2 linked regions of the Elephas maximus indicus genome follow. The protein of the gene in region 2 purifies or fractionates together with the protein of the main gene of each other region. This does not show direct contact. Links are inferred from orthologs where the notes say so. Each region holds a gene or a part of one and is shown on either strand. Other genes may lie near its edges.

Region 1 (7,948 bases), on a different chromosome or scaffold from region 2:
ACATCATTTATATGTCCTCACTCGTGTCTAACACAGTTCCAGAGACATAATAAATATTTGCTGAGTGAATGAATGTAAGCATTCACAAATGATCATAAAAATTAACCACGCTTCATAAAAAAAGGTGAAATTAAACAAACATGAAAGTCAGTATTAAATGATTTACCAGTTACTTTTCGCGATGTTCATTTTCACTCTGTACAGAAGGTGGAGCCAAAGACAAATTTATCCACTGCCTGGTATTCTTTCCCATTAAACAAAAGAAAGGGGAAAAAAAAAATTCTTCCCTCCCTTGACAAATCCTTTTTGGTGTAGCTGCAGAGTAAGATTCACTTAGAGATAAATGTGGGCTACAGAAAGGCATTTAACTTTTACCAAGGTAAAGTCAAGCTTTGACCCTGAAATCTCTCTCCAGGATGATAGAATACACTTTGGAAGCAAATTGTCAGACCTCAGAAATAAACCTGTTGAAAAAAGGATACTAGCACAAGTTGGTGATATAATGTGAAATCTTCACTACTGTGTATCGAAATTTGGTTGACAAATGGTCAATTTAAGAATACATTTTCTGGCTGACTACCAATCTGAGTAGAGTGTTTCTAGACTTGCATACTATTGAGCTCCAAATTAGCCTTCACTCCTTTCTTTCTGTTCAATCAATATTAGATAAAATGGAAATTTGGTGCATAGATAGGAAATTCATTTACTCTGATGTTAACAAAAAGAAATCCATAAGAATGCTAACTTATTCCATTACAGAATCATTCTAGACCCTCCCTGTCTTAGATAATCCTTTTATTCTTCTAGGGTTGCCTTTGAATTCTCCTAGAGATACAGCTGACTTTGTCAAATCTGTTCACCTGACCCTTACCTCAGAGTCAGCTGATACCATCACCAAATGCGTTTTTTAATGTCCATCCTTTCCACCTCAAAACATCTCTTTCTTTATGGTCTGCATTCACTCTTGTTTTAAAGGAATATTGTCCTTTTTTCAGAGTTAATGACTCACCAAGTTCCCAAGTGATATTTTTCTTACTAACAATCCCACATGTGGCCATTTCAAATACCCCTTCTTTTCCCTTACACCACCTGTCCTCCTTTTTTTTTTTTAAGACTGCTTTAAATGTGGAAATCCTTAGGAGCCTGGTGGTGCAGTGGTTAAGTGTTCGGCTGCCGTTGGAATCCACCAGCCACTTCTTGGAAACCATATGGGGCAGTTCTACTCTGTCCTGTAGGGTCACTATGAGTTGGAACTGAATCGACAGCAATGAGTTTGAGTGGGTTTACCACTACAATACTATCCTAACTAGTTAATTACTACCCTAACTATTCTCTGGTTGCTGTGGAGTCAGTTCCGACTCATGATGGCCACATGTGTATCAGAGCAGACTTGTGCTCCATAGGATTTTCAATGGCTGATTTTTCAGAAGTGGATCCCAGGCCTTTCTTCTGAGGCAACTTTTCATTAGCAGCCGAAAGCACTATTTGCACCACCTATGAACTCCCTCTATAGGGTTTCCATGAGTTGGCATCAACACCATGGCAACAGGTTCAACAGGATGGACTCCCTCTAATCTACAGCTACCAGCTATTCTTGAATGTTTATGTGCACCTCACTGATGTGACAGTAATCCACCAGAGCTTTTATGAGATAAACATTGAAAGTCCTTAAAAATTAATCTATTCATCTCTTAAAATTCCAGAAATCATTATTTCCAAACAAAGGTAAAAACTGAAAAGTGCATTTGGTCCTCATATTAAGAAGTGCTTCTTAAAATTCTGAAAAATAGTCAACTCTCCACTGTGTCAGTAATTTACATTTCTCAATGCATAGAACAACATGCGTAAGACAGACTCTAAAGCCTGGCCCATGATGGTGCCTGAAGACATCCTGGAGATGACAGGAATTTTAAATGTTCAGTGTTGCCTGGCTGTAACTATTTCCCCGGGGAAAGATAACATGCTTGGTAAAGTAAAGGGTCAGCAAAAAAGAGGAAGACCCTAGATGAGCTGGATTGACACAGTGGCTGCAACAATGGGCTCAAACATAGCAATGACTGTTAGGATGGCACAGGACCAGGCATTTCATTCTGTTGTGCATGGGATGGCAATGTGTCAGAACCAACTCCATGGCATCTAACAACTAACGTTTTTTCTGCACATAGACAAGGTCTGGCAATCTGGAAGTCAGTGTTTGTATTAATGAAACGGCATTGGCATTTCTGAGAATATGAGAGAAAAAAAATCACTTTTTAAAATCTCTGCCACAATTTTTACAAATCTTTCTAATGGAAACAAGCTTTTAATGTCAGGTAAATGGGATACTTTTTAAAAACTACATTCTTGGTTAAACTATAAGTCACCAGCACTGCTGGAGTATGAGGTGTAACAGGAGTTGCTATTAGCCCTTTGGAGACGCTGCTAGGTGTCTGTGAGAGAAAGCTGTGTCTTCACCATTCCAACAGGGAAGCCATTCACAGTAACCCAGCTCCCCGTGAGCATTATGACTCATGGGATCACAGTTTGGTGCCATTATTTTACAAGGAAAGAAGATCATAAAGAAAGTCTTCGTCTTCTATGAATAATCACGGGAAAATCATTTTGGAAATAGAAGACACAGTACATTCTAAATGTTAAGAGAATAAATTAGTTAGTGGCTCATGCCATATTACTTCAGAAACTGTTTCACGTGATATCCATGAACAATGTCGTTTGGTATAAAGAATTTCTTTAGTTCTATTTCCAATTGGTCATACAGGTTACAGGTTTAAAAAGAAATAGCAGAAAACTTAAGATATCCATACTCTTTTAGAGACCTAATAAAATAGAATTCAAAATAAACACAATCTTTTGCTTTAAAAATCCTGTCATAGAAAGCCAATTTTAACTTTTCTTCATATAATTAACTCTGAATCAGAACCTTGAGAATTCTTTTAATAAAATGGATAATATCAGTAATAATTGTACTTTGCAAAAGTAAGCCAAATAATTACGTAAATTAACTTCAAGCATAACCTTTTTTTAAAAAGGGGAAAAGATTTTCTTATAATGAAAAGAGTGAATCATATATTCATGAATGTGTTCTGAACGCAAGGAAATAATTTTTAGTTAATGCAAAAGAAATATGCTTTTTTGAAGGAAAGGGCAATATGAATACAAAACCAACAACAATATGTACACGTTGTTGATCTTGAAGACTTGAAAGTCTGATTACCATTTCTATTTCCATAACATCTTTTTTTTTTCTCCTTCCTTAAAGAAAAATATACCTTTGGAAACTATACAGCTAGAAAATGAGAGAGTGCAAAATCATGTCTTAAAACTATAACATTTCAGAAAATGTTTTATTAGTCACTTCAATGAAAGTATATTTAGTGAAAGGTATCTTCCAGGAAATACTTGCCATTCTTCTTTTCTCTGGTATTGGTATAGTGTGAAAAGTTAAGAAAATGAAACCTGGTGAGTTTGCTTTGTTTGCGAGAATAAATACTGATAGACTTTCCTGTCCACTCTCAGGAGTATCACTGAAGCCTGTTTATGGGGATTTGTCCCACCACAGCCCTCTGCTCTGGCATCTGGGGAGCCCTTAAAGGAGCTGCCCTGTCTCAGAATGAAGTGGCATGACTCAGGCCATTATACAGACTATGCAGAGACCTGAAGAGGTAGAGCCATGGAAGCGGTGGATAAGCACATAAAGATTATATGCACAACTTTACTGTCGATGGGCAGAAAACTCTCTAGTGGGTTTTAGAGAGAGAGCTGGTCTTAAGGAGAGTCAAATAGTTTTTGGACTCACTCAATGCCTACTTAACCTATCAGGCAACTTTAGCCTGTGTTTGATAGAAATAGCCTCGTATTTTCACTACAAAATATTTAGTTTTTAGTGTTGTTGCCATGTAGGGGCTGAGAGCATACTATGCACTTTCAATTCCCCGGAGATCTGGTAGAGATTAGAAATCAGTATTTCACAGTTTAACAAAACTGATTTTTTTATATATATATATGCTAAACTGCTCAACTGCAGGAAAAAGTAAAAATTCTAAAGTGCCAAAGGATTTAGAAGGTGGATTAAGGATGGATAGAAACCAAAAAAACCAAACCCACTGCCATCGAGTCGATTCTGACTCATAGCGATCCTATAGGGCAGAGCAGAACTGCCCCATAGAGTTTCGAAGGAGCGCCTGGCAGATTTGAACTGCCGACCTCTTTGTTAGCAGCTGTAGCACTTAACCACTACGCCACCAGGGTTTCCAAAATTCAACCATATATGTCCCTTTTTTAAATGTTCCTGCCCCATCCCCACCATCTCCTTTGTTGTCTCTACCTAAATGAAGAGGAAAAGAATTAGATCATCCAATAGGTCATTCACACCCACCTCTAACTTCACACACACCTTGGCCGATATGAAACAAGTTTACACTGGTTAAATTCTTTGCCAACATTTTTTTTTTTTTTTACTCTAAAACATTTTTCTCTTATTTTCAAAAAGGTGATAACATCACAAAATATACAATTTTTCATTTTCGCTGGAATTTTGGTGAAAAAAGGACTAAAATCCATCGTTGTTATCTGTAAGGAGTAACTCTCAGGAGCGGCACGTCTCTGTTTAATGAGATTTTGTTTTTTTCTCATCAGCAAATTTAAACCACAACTTTATCTCAACCTAGATACTCTTCTCCCCCACCCTTCCAAGTTCACCAGCGTCCTCTGGGCTCTCCTCCCCGCCTTTCCTTTTTCCCTCCCCTTTCTTCTAGCCCCTCCTCCTAGTTGAGTCAGTGGCTTGAAACTTTTAAAAGCTCTCTGCTCCAAGTTAGAAAAAAGCTTTTGGGAGGTATCAGCACTTTTCTTTCATTAGAGGGAAGACGTGAGGAAAGTACCAGCAGCAGCAGACATTTAAACTTTAAATAGACAGGTCTGAGTGCCTGAGCTTACTTTTTTCATTTTACTTCATCTTCCAAGGAGGTCAATCACTTGGCGTGCCTACTTCACTTCTTTTAAGCGAAGAGTAAGTGAAACAACATTTTACCTATTAGTTTCTTTTTCTACAAGTAAGACTTTTCTAAAGTTTTTAAATGTGTTAAAAAGTAGCTTTGACTTATTTAAACTGTAATGGAAGAGTGAACTTTAAAGTGTTTCTGTAGTTTTAAAGTTAAATTGTACTGAATTTATATTTGACTCTTAAAAAGAGTTTCTACTAATGATGCAACAGGCAAAATGAGGTTCAGATCTTTCCTATTAGAAGAAAGAACTAGTTTACTGAGTATCTGGTACTTCATTTTGGAGTATAATTGTCTTAGAGTAAAATTTTGCTTTTTGGTAATCAGCGATAGTCTAGGGGCTCTGTAATTTGTTGGGGGGGGGCCGAGGAGCCTTGGTTGGGGAGGTGACTGACAACAGCCCTAAAATCAAAGTGTAAATTTGCTTAGCGAGCTTCCTATAGCATTCTACACTGGGTGCTTTTTCATATGGAAATCTTGATTGATGTTCAATAGCCTTGCAAAGCAGATTTCTTAACAAAGTGCTTTGTTAAAACCTTGCGGTTACTTGACTTCCACGTGGTCTCTTCCTAGGATTTTTTCTCCCAGTAAGCAAAAAAAAAAAAAAGTATAAAAATCAGACTTGTAATATGGGGCAGAGTTGTAATAGTAAGGTTTGTAAAGCAACAGTGTATAGTTACTGTGTTAGCCACTACTATGGAATTACTATGGAAAGATTTGAGACCCTCAGGAAATGAGGTTTATCCCGACCACGTTGGCAATTCAGGAGATGAATTCCCTCGAGTAAGGTAGCGGTTACTTACAGAACGTTAGAAGACAACAGACGTCAGAAAAATATATACCACGGTGCATTTCCAAAACCATGTCCAAAGACGGGAGCTCCTAGAAAGTATAGGGAAAAGGGAATTTCTTAAACAGCGCCTCAGAGGGAGCTGACCGCTCCGGCCCTCCCCACCCCCCACCCCCCCCGCCCGCCGCCCGAACCTTTAACAGAATTGAGAGCTCTGGGCGACTTTTTAGAAGTTCGAGCTGCCAGGGTGCTTGCCAGTAAGCCAAGATTTATTTATTTTTAAAATAGTTCAATTTTTGAGTGTTCTTATTGGTAATACACATTCGGTTTACCAGATATGCAACCATGGATTTTTGCGCCCGGAAAGGATTTTCTCTGTTCTGATCCACAGACTAAAGTAATTAAATTCTTGGTGTGACCCAGAAGTTTGAAGTATTTGCACCAGAAAATGCTGAAAAGCAATAAAAATGAAACCTTTGCAGTGGTCGGGGGCCGGGGCGGGCGCCGGGCGCCTCCTGCCATTTTAGCACCCGCCGGGCTCACCCTGGATTCCCGCGCAGCCCAAACCTCTGGGGGGGTTTTGAGATGTTTCGTTCAAATCCCTACAAATCAATTCTGAGTTCCGCCACTGAAAAGGAAGCGGTGGTAGGGAGAGGAGGGAGCTGAGAAGGAGATGGGCTGCATGCCAAATGGTAAAAGAGGAGCAAGTGATTGACTTAATTAAGCTTGTCAATCCAATTTCCCATTCCTCCCACCCCAACCACAGTTTCCTTTTTTTAAAAAAAAAAAACTTACCGAATCCTATGATATTTGCATTGGTAAGGAAAACCTGAATACCTGGGGAATTATCGTGCTTAAATTGCACTTGTAGCTCTCCTGAAAATTCTCGAAACTCCCCAGGAACCAGTGGAGGAGAAAAAGCCCCATAATGAAATGAGGCAAGAGATAGTGACTTGTCGTCCAAAGGTAAATTAGTATTTGATTCAGTGGATCGGCCACACATAACCTCTTAGTTACACATAAAATGTTTGCTGAGCATCTCTGATTAAGTTCCTTGAGAAGATGTCCTTGACCAACGTCACATTCAGCCTGGTCCTTACGGACTGGGTGGTGGGAGCACGTGAGCCACAGAACGTGGTGAAAAGAGTCCAGACACTGTTTGGAGGTGAATTTAGTTTCTCTTGCTTCCTGAAATAAGTCAGTAAGGAGAAGAAAGGTGTTCAATATTACCTTAGGAAAATTGGGCACACAAACCCAGTTGTAAATGTCTCGTAGCAATTTAAAGAATAGATTATGCAAATTTTAAGGAAGCCTATTTTAATCTTTAAAGGATTACTGAGGATATAAACCTGTGACAAACCAAACCCTTTGTGGTCTATTCCAACTGAGCAACCCTACAGGACAGAGTAGAACTGCCCCATAGGTTTTCCAAGGAGTGGCTGGTGGATTCGAACTACCAATCTTTTGCTTAGCAGCGGAGCTCTTAACCACTGCACCCCCAGGGCTCCAAAAACCTGTGATAGTGCAGTGAAAATCTCATTAAACTAACCCATCCCCAAGAATGTACCCTTGGGAGAAAAGTGATTCATTCTTCTGGGTAGGCCGAGTGGATCAAAAATCATACCAAAGGCAGAAAGTAGATTCTGTTTCCTGGCATTGTTTGTTGTTCCTCTAAGTGTGGCTGTGTTGTACGTCCCAAAGGCAGGATATAGTTATTATCACCTGTACTTTTCCTGGAAAAGGCAGTGGTAGTGTCTTGCTCCTACTTTCTTCACCCGTGTAAACATGCTCTGCATTTTTTTGTTTGTTTGTTTGAATAGCCTTTTGAAGTTTATCACCAGAGCTGTCCTATGCACTCAGTTCCTCACCCTTTATGGCTGGGATTCCTACAGTGTTGACCGTGCATGGGAAGCATGATTCTAAAGATACACCTCAGCAATCATCTAAAAGGGTGTGACCTCTGATATTGAGGGTGTTTTGTTATTTAGATATTTCCAATTCTTGCATAGGGGAGGGAAAACTCATTTCTTTTAAAACATCCAGAGGTGTAGCTTGGCATGACCCTTTTAGCTTTTATATATGATACCCTGGTGGAAGGAATGATAAGAAAGTCAGCCATGATTAAGACATTCTACTCCACCTTTCCTGTGTGACTTCCCTT
Region 2 (7,770 bases):
ATAAAGTATAGATTTATCTTTATTTTTCAATAGTTTTCTTGTTATATTAGCATCATATATTAGTCTATCCTTTCTTGCATTATATTTGCACTATGTTCATTTCTATTAAAAAATTTTCTATTGACGTTAAAAAAAAAAGACCTCAAGATCCAGAGGTCTGAGAATGTGAATGCCTGGGAAAAAAGGAAGAGGGTGTCAGCCCCTTGGAGGTGGCCTAGGGGTACCCTCCCACTCCAAAGGTAGAAAAGGCACCACACCTCCCACTGCAAAGCCTGGAATGGACACTGAACTCCCAGCGTCAGATATTCTTTGTCCAACACGACCGCCATCAGGCCCTTACTCCTCTGAGCCCCTCCCAAGGTTCTGTCAGCCAGGTGGGAAGATTCTGCTGTGAGTGGCAGGGGCTAGGTGAGGTCACACCGCTGGAGAGGCCAAGGGAGTAGGGGCACCACTGCCAGAAACCATTTGGTTTTGGGAGATTGTGGTGAAGGAGGGGGTAGAAGTCTGCTTTGAAGAACATGAGGAATCCTACTAGCGATCCCTGCTCTTCCCACCTCCTCCCATCCCTCCCACCCAAGAAAGTAGCCAAACACAGGATAGGAGTTTAAGTTTATTCTTGGAAAAACAAAGTCTCATCCTCCCACCACAGCCCAGGCAGGTTTTCCCAAGGGGCCCTGCCCCTCCAAATGGTCATCTCTCTTTTCTGATCCCAGGTTCCGTCTATAGCTGTCATGATGCCGCTACCTGGGTGAGGGGCTCCTCCAGGTACTGCACCAAGGCCTGAGCCTGCAAGAGGGGGAACAGTTATCAGTCCCACCCTGGCCTTCCACTAGAGCAATATGGGATCCAAGACCTATACCCCCCAATGCCATATGCTCTGAACACCCAGTCTCAGCCTCAGCCTCAGTCTGCTCCTGGGAGCTAGACCACACCAGGCATGGACTGGGTGGACATGGGAAGGCCCCAGAAAGGTAGTGAGGGTGGGAATGGACATGATGATAAAGCATGAAGGCTTGGCCCGGGGTTGTGGAGGGATGGGTGATGGGCGCATACACACCTTGGCCTTGAGCATTCCGAAGCCCACGGTCTCCTTGGCATACATACAAAGCAGAAGGTTGGCCACTCGGGTGATGGCCACTCGGCCCTCCTGGTGGGGGAGGGGATATAATGGGATGCGATGCTCTGCTTGGCACTCTCAGCCTCCTCCTTCCCAAAGGGCTCCTCTGGCCCTAGAGGGACTTATTTTCCTTGCACGCCCTGGGTACAGCAGGAGGTTCAACTGGGGGGCTTTGACTATAGCCCTGGACATGGGGTCCTGAGCCTGCGTTCTAGCCTCAGCACAGCCATCTTTTAACCAAGTTGCTCTGGGAAACTCACTTAATCTCCCAAAAACTTGGTTTCTCTTTCTATAATCCCTACCTCACTCCAGTTGGTGGGGGTGCCAGTATACACTAAGGAGTTTGTATCTGCAAAGGGCTGTCCAGATGGGAGATGTTATTATTATGGGCTCAACCCAAGACACTGTGAGGGAGTTGGGAGCAGTAACCCAACTTATATTTCTCTTCTTTTCCCTTAGTGATGCTTTGCAAACTGCAAGTTTGACTACAGGGTTAAGAGATCTATTTAAAAGGTTGATCCGCATTTATGGGGAAAAAAAAAAATGGAGGGAAGAGAAATGAAGAGCATTGCATGTGGTAAGGGAAGTACCATCTCCCGAAACTTTTGTTTCAGTGAGTGTGTGTACTAGGCTGTGACATAAAATGTATTTTTTATGACCAGGTTGTGGTTTAAAAAAAAAGTTTTGACAATCATTGCCGTATAGCACTAGCTGTGGACTAGGTACCCTAGGGGTCACCTGTTAAACTGAAATGACATTCAGAGGGTAGGAATGAAGCAGGTAGCCAAGCTACAGTGGAGACCCTTCCTAGAGAGTTCGCTCTTGGGGCCTATTTAATTTGGTTCAGCAAACCTTCAGTAGATACCCACTCTGGGCTGGGAGTCAGGTGCCTTTCCGGGGCTCATCTCCTACTACTCACCTATGCTCATGCCACTCCATCCCATTAGCCTTGTTGTTCCTTGACCAGGCATATTCTGCCTGAGGGCCTTTGCATTTGCTGTTCTGTCAGAAATGTTCTTCCCCAAGATAGCCACATGGCTTGCTTCCCAGCTTCCTTCAGATCTTCAATCAAATATTACCTTTTTAGTGAGATTGTCTCTGACACTATTTTGCTCCATAGCATTTTCACCACCTAACGTACTTACTGACTTCCTGAGGGCTGGGGTTTTTGTCTGTCCTGTTCACTACTTCCCTGCTATTCCCCCAAACACTGCAGAGACTTAGTAAATATTTGTTGAATAAGGAGATACAAAGGTAAGACAGTCCCTGCTCCTATGGAGTTCACAGTCTTAACAGCCACTTCCCCTTTCTGGACTTCATTTCCTTTCTCTGTAAACTAAAAGGGTTCTACTAGGGTCTGGAGACCCTGACAACTTTATGGTTTTGTGAGTCAGTGAACTTGGGATGACAACACCTTGAGTCTGCACATCCCTCTGTAGTTTATATCCATTCTTTAATTTGATCTTCAAAAGAACCCAGTAAGTTGGGCAAGGGTATGTGTGTTATTGTTTTCACCTTAAAGATGAGGAAGCTCAGAGAGGTCAAATGACTTACCCAAGGTCTCACAACTTTTAAGTGGCTGGCTGAGACCAGAACCCCAGTGAGTCCTCTGGCCCAGAACCCCTTCCTTACCACCACTTAATGAATAAGGTCCTGCCTCTTATAAATACTGCTGCAGATCACCTCTTAAGACTTGGAGATCCTGTTCCTGGCCCTCCAACCATCCAGGATGGGGTCTGGGTAGCCCCCTGGGGATCCCCTTGGGGGATAGAGGAAGCCAGGCTCCCCTTTCCATACCATGCAGTCCATGAGAATGAATTTGAGATTGTCTTCATTAAACGCTTGGTTCCCATTCCGGTCATAGGCGGCCCAGATGTTACTCGCGATGGCCGCGGTGACCCGGGCGTCCGTGTCTCCGTAACCCGAGTAGGCTAGCAGCGACCCCTCATTATTCAGCAGCCTGGCGAGGGATATCAACGTGCTTAGAGCAGGGGAAAAAAACGCCTGAGTTCCCACCCCAACTCCTGCAACTGGCGCTTCTAGGAAGCAAGGGTCTGGGCTGAGTATGTCCCGGAACCTGCACCAACACCCAGCACGCCAGCTTCCCTTTTCTAGAAAAGCCTCTCCCGGCGGGTTTCCCCAGATGCTGCCCACTGCTGCCTCTTTCCTTCCAGGCGATCCTTCCCCACCCCTCCCTTTGAGAGCCCCGCGCCGCTCAAGTCCTCAGTCCGCACTCACAGGGTGCTCTGGACGCCTCCAGTGTTGGCTTGGCTTAGCACCTGGGTCAAAGCCTTGGGGCGCAGCATGCCTGCAGCACCTAACCCAAGGCTTTTCCACTCAGATACCCTGGATTTCCTCCCGCTGGGCTCCGCCTGCCGCTCCCCGTAGCCCAGCTCCCCTGCCCCGAAACATCCTGGGAGTTGTAGTTTCTTGGCCTGGCTATTGTGGGTCTGCTTTAACTCCTTCCCACCGCGGAGGGCTCTGGGAATTGTAGTTCCTTGTTGCCTCGCGAGGCACCCTGGGAACTATAGTTTGCCTTTCCAGTCAGTCCACGAGGTTATGGGGGAAAAGAGCGGGAGTAAAAGGCCCTTGGAAGTACTGGAAGGACATTTAACCCCTTCGAAGAGAGAGAAGGCGTCATGTCCGCTTAGCAACCCACGATTCAATAATAATAACAATAGAATCCCTGTATTTGTCAAGCACACCTTTGGTTACTTTCCAAAGCAGTTTTCTATCTTATGCACGATTCTGTGGGATGAGGCTATAGGCATTATTAGCTTGAGGAAACCTAGGCTCAGAAAAGCCACCTAGGCAAAGGCCAGATCCCTGACACCGTATTTAACAGTCCTTCATTCGGGTCACGACCCTCGGGAGAACAGGGTCAATCCTAGATATGAGACCCTAGGCGGACGTCCAGAGGTGGGAAAAAATTCAACCTCCAAATCGAGCAAGAGAAGGCCTGGAAGGGATCTGGGCCTCTCAGGAAAAGCCAAGTTATCACAGGGCACAGTGATAAAGCGGCGACACAGAAAGTCCTTTGTCCCGGAGCGGGAGTTACCCGCGGAGGGGGCGGGGTCAGCCTTGGGCCAGACTGGACCGCGGCGCGGCTCGGGCCAGCTTGGGTGGGCGGTGGTCTCTCGCCCGGAACCCGCCCTCTGCTCCCCGCCCCGCGAGTGAAGGACACGCCCCGCTCCCGCCCAGAGCCCCATCCAGGGGCTACTACCCTGCAAGGCCCTGTCCAGGCTCCCGAACCCGGGGCTTGGCCCTGGGCGGGCCCGCTGCAGTGGTCCCCCCGGTCCGCCCGGGGCGCTGTGGCTGCGGCTGGTCCGGAGGGGGCGGTGAAGCCTTGGGGAGGGGAGGGGAGTGTTGGAGGCGCCCGAGCCGAGCCGGACCGGCCGGGCGGGGAAGAGGAGGAGGAGGAGCCGGGGCGGGCTGGCGGGCGGCCGGGTGGTGGCGGCGGCGGCGGCGGCATGGCGGAGCCGAGCGGGGCCGAGACGAGGCCCCCCATTCGGGTCACCGTCAAGACCCCCAAGGACAAGGAGGAAATTGTGATCTGCGATCGAGCCTCGGTCAAGGAGGTAGTACGGCTGGCGGGGACCGAGCGCGGAGGAGGGGGGTCTGTGAGGAGATGTGGGGGTCTCTGAGAGACTGTCGGGACCACCAGGAGGGCCCTGGAGAGAAGAGCAGGGGGTCAGCAGGGACCCCAAGGAGCGGGAAGGAAGGAGAGGCGGGTAGGGGGCGCCCTGCAAAGGGTAGATCCGGGGGAGCATGGCGCGCGCGCGTGGGGGGGGCCCGGGGTTTGCCTTGTGGCCAGGGCTGGGGGCGTGGTGGAGAGTGAAGAGGGGGCACCTTGCACCGGGAAAAGGGAATGACCCTGGGTTTGAGGGGAGTGTGCGCTCGGGTGACCAGTCGGGGTTCGAGGCGCCAAGGCTGAGCGGGGGGCACCGGCAAGGTGCTGAGCCAGAAGGGGCCAGGGCGCAAGCCGAGAGCGCCAGGCGCCTTCTGTATGCCTCCCAGGACTCCCAGCGTTTTGGGTGAAAACCTGCGGCGGTGGGGAGAGGATTTTCCTCTGCCCAGATCCTTTCTACTCTCAAATTGAGGTGATTTCTTTTGATTCTCAGCTCCTCAGGTTTTTACGCAGTGTGCAGTAGGTGCTCAATAAACAATTGTTGAAATATAGAATATCGCTTGTGTTCTTCACCCCCAGTGGCTGCTCCAAAATTTCACATAGGCGGGGCTTAAGATAGGCTTTCTGGTTGGAAGAGGAGTCTTAACTGTCTTTGCTTAGCAAGTGCACTGTTTTTACTTGAGTGTTTTTTTTTTAGTGGGAGGGGCTGATAGAGTTTGGGGATTCTAGGTCTCCCTCAGGCAGCCCTTGGTGCCACCACTGCCTCCCAACCTTATAAAACCACTCCATTCCAGAATTTAAATCCTTTTCCCTGCACAGCTGAATTTGAAATCAGCTCCAATTGAGAGGCAGTGTGTCTGAACGGTTAAGAGCCTGGTCAAAGCCCAATTCCCATTCTGCTCAGGATAAATTACTTAACCTCGCTGATCCTCAAATTTCTCGTCTCTAAAATGGAGCTAGTCATTAGTACGTATCTTATGGGACTTAGACGGTTAAGTGGTGAGTAGTAAATATTCAATGACTGGGATCTATTTGTTGTAGTTCAGGAACGCTGAACTGAGCAGAAACTGAGACTAAGCGGAGGAGGGAAACTTGAGGTCTGAGAAGAAAAAACTGAAGGAAGACAGTCTGGGTCCAAGGCTGTTTAAGGAATTGGGATGAGGAGGGCTGCCCAGGCAGCACCCTCACAGGAAGCTGGGTGGACAGACTGGAGGTGGGATGGCAGATAGCAGCAAGGACTTTCTAGGGTAGAAGACCCTGGGATGGAACTGAGAGAGGAGCCTCTCAATAATCCATCTCCTTGGGTAAGAAAGGAGCTGTTTATTGCAGCTTGAGACTGAAGAAAGGACTTCCCATGACTAGAGGTGGGAGCAAGGGAATGCAAAAGCTCTTAAAGAAGAGGCAGGGTCCCTAGTGGGTGGAGCCCAGGCACCCTCCACAAGGACCTCTGTCTCTTGATCCCAGTTCAAAGAGGAAATCTCCCGGAGGTTTAAGGCCCAGCAGGACCAGCTCGTCTTGATCTTTGCCGGCAAGATCCTCAAGGATGGGGACACACTGAACCAGCATGGGATCAAGGATGGGCTCACTGTCCATCTGGTCATCAAGACCCCTCAGAAGTAAGTTCAGGAGATAAGCAGGCCCAGCTTCTGATTGGGCCTCTCACTTCCACATCTGAGGCTTTCTCACCCATCAGCTCATCCGAACCTAGAGGGCCTATGCCAAGGCCTGGGAAGGTGGCTCCTGGATGAATTTTCAGGCAGGCTATAATCTCACCTCCGAAGGGATCCTGATTTACCCCTCCCAGAATGCCCTGAAGACAGATAATACTAGCTCCGCCCTCACTCCCTAGTTTACTGACCTCCCCTTCCCCTCCCTCTTCCTGCCTGAGGGTCATAGTTAGGGTAGTAACTGCCCAGCCAAGAAAGAGCAGTCTGATCTTTGTGGTGCCTTCCTTGTTCTTGGGGTGTATACTCCAACCAGGATTCTCCTTTCTCTGTCCTCAGGGTTCAAGATCCGGCTGCTACCACTGCTTCTTCCCCCTCCACTCCTGACCCTGCCTCTGCACCCTCCACCATGCCTGCTTCACCCGCCACCCCTGCCCAGCCCTCCACCTCTGGCAGCACCACTTCAGATGCTGGCAGTGGAAGCCGGAGGAGCAGTGGGGGGGGGCCCTCCCCAGGGGCTGGGGAGGGACCCCCCAGTGCAACTGCATCCATACTCTGTAAGCCCCTAGAAAGGAGAACACAGTGCTGTTTTGGTTTGGGAGTTGGGGAGAGTCAAGAGGAGGGAGAAATATGGTCCCTGATCCTGGTCTGATAGGGTAGGTGACCCCTGGACACAGGGCTCTAAACACTGGTATTTGAGCCAAACCAGGGAGGAGACTACTCTGTGAGGGCTTCCTGGAGGAGGGGAAGTATTAAGAGTGAGGGGAGAAATGGGGCTGGGGACGTGGGGAACCCTGGGTGAGGATATTAAAAGAACCTGTGAGTTTGGAGAAATGATAGGCCCAGCAGGAGCCAGGATAGGGAATATTTATTTACTTAGACTGTCACTGATTGCCCGCTCTTTGCTAGGTGCTGTGCTCAGCTCTGGGGTAGCCTAAGCCTCTGCAGTCCAAGAGGTCTCAGTCTAATGGCTCTTCGCGTGGATCAGGGCTAGGCTGTGGGAGTAAGTGGAAAAGGGAGCTGTGAGAAGCAGAGAAAAGATTGGGCCCACCCTGGAGATCTGTATTCAGTACCTTTGGCCAGGTAGGGGAAAGGCCACTTGAGTAGAATGTGACCCTGTCCCCTCCCCACAGCTGGCTTTGGGGGCATCCTGGGGCTGGGCAGCCTGGGCCTGGGCTCTGCCAACTTCATGGAGCTGCAGCAGCAGATGCAGAGGCAGCTGATGTCCAACCCTGAGATGCTGTCGCAGATCATGGAGAACCCCCTGGTCCAGGACATGATGTCTAACCCTGACCTGATGCGCCACATGATCATGGCCAACCCCCAGATGCAGCAGCTGATGGAGCGGAACCCTGAGATCA

The links.
Region 1: the proteins of UBQLN4 (region 2) and GJA1 purify together in Homo sapiens (affinity purification with western blotting; 3 studies listed by BioGRID). This does not show direct contact. The link is inferred for Elephas maximus indicus from reciprocal best matches to the Homo sapiens genes UBQLN4 and GJA1.

Annotation. Positions count from the first base shown.
Region 1 is NC_064819.1:188,743,596-188,751,543, forward strand, and holds the start of GJA1 (gap junction alpha-1 protein), read left to right. Parts: upstream 1-4,797; 5' UTR 4,798-5,005; intron 5,006-5,800; exon of another isoform or gene 5,801-5,879; intron 5,880-6,582; exon of another isoform or gene 6,583-6,824; intron 6,825-7,948. UniProt on the Homo sapiens protein: Gap junction protein that acts as a regulator of bladder capacity. A gap junction consists of a cluster of closely packed pairs of transmembrane channels, the connexons, through which materials of low MW diffuse from one cell to a neighboring cell.
Region 2 is NC_064821.1:193,862,582-193,870,351, reverse strand, and holds the start of UBQLN4 (ubiquilin-4), read left to right. Parts: upstream 1-4,553; 5' UTR 4,554-4,587; coding exon 4,588-4,695; intron 4,696-6,209; coding exon 6,210-6,361; intron 6,362-6,748; coding exon 6,749-6,966; intron 6,967-7,542; coding exon 7,543-7,770. Other genes in the region: ragulator complex protein LAMTOR2, read right to left, coding at 730-786, 1,058-1,147, 2,915-3,077, 3,356-3,423. UniProt on the Homo sapiens protein: Regulator of protein degradation that mediates the proteasomal targeting of misfolded, mislocalized or accumulated proteins.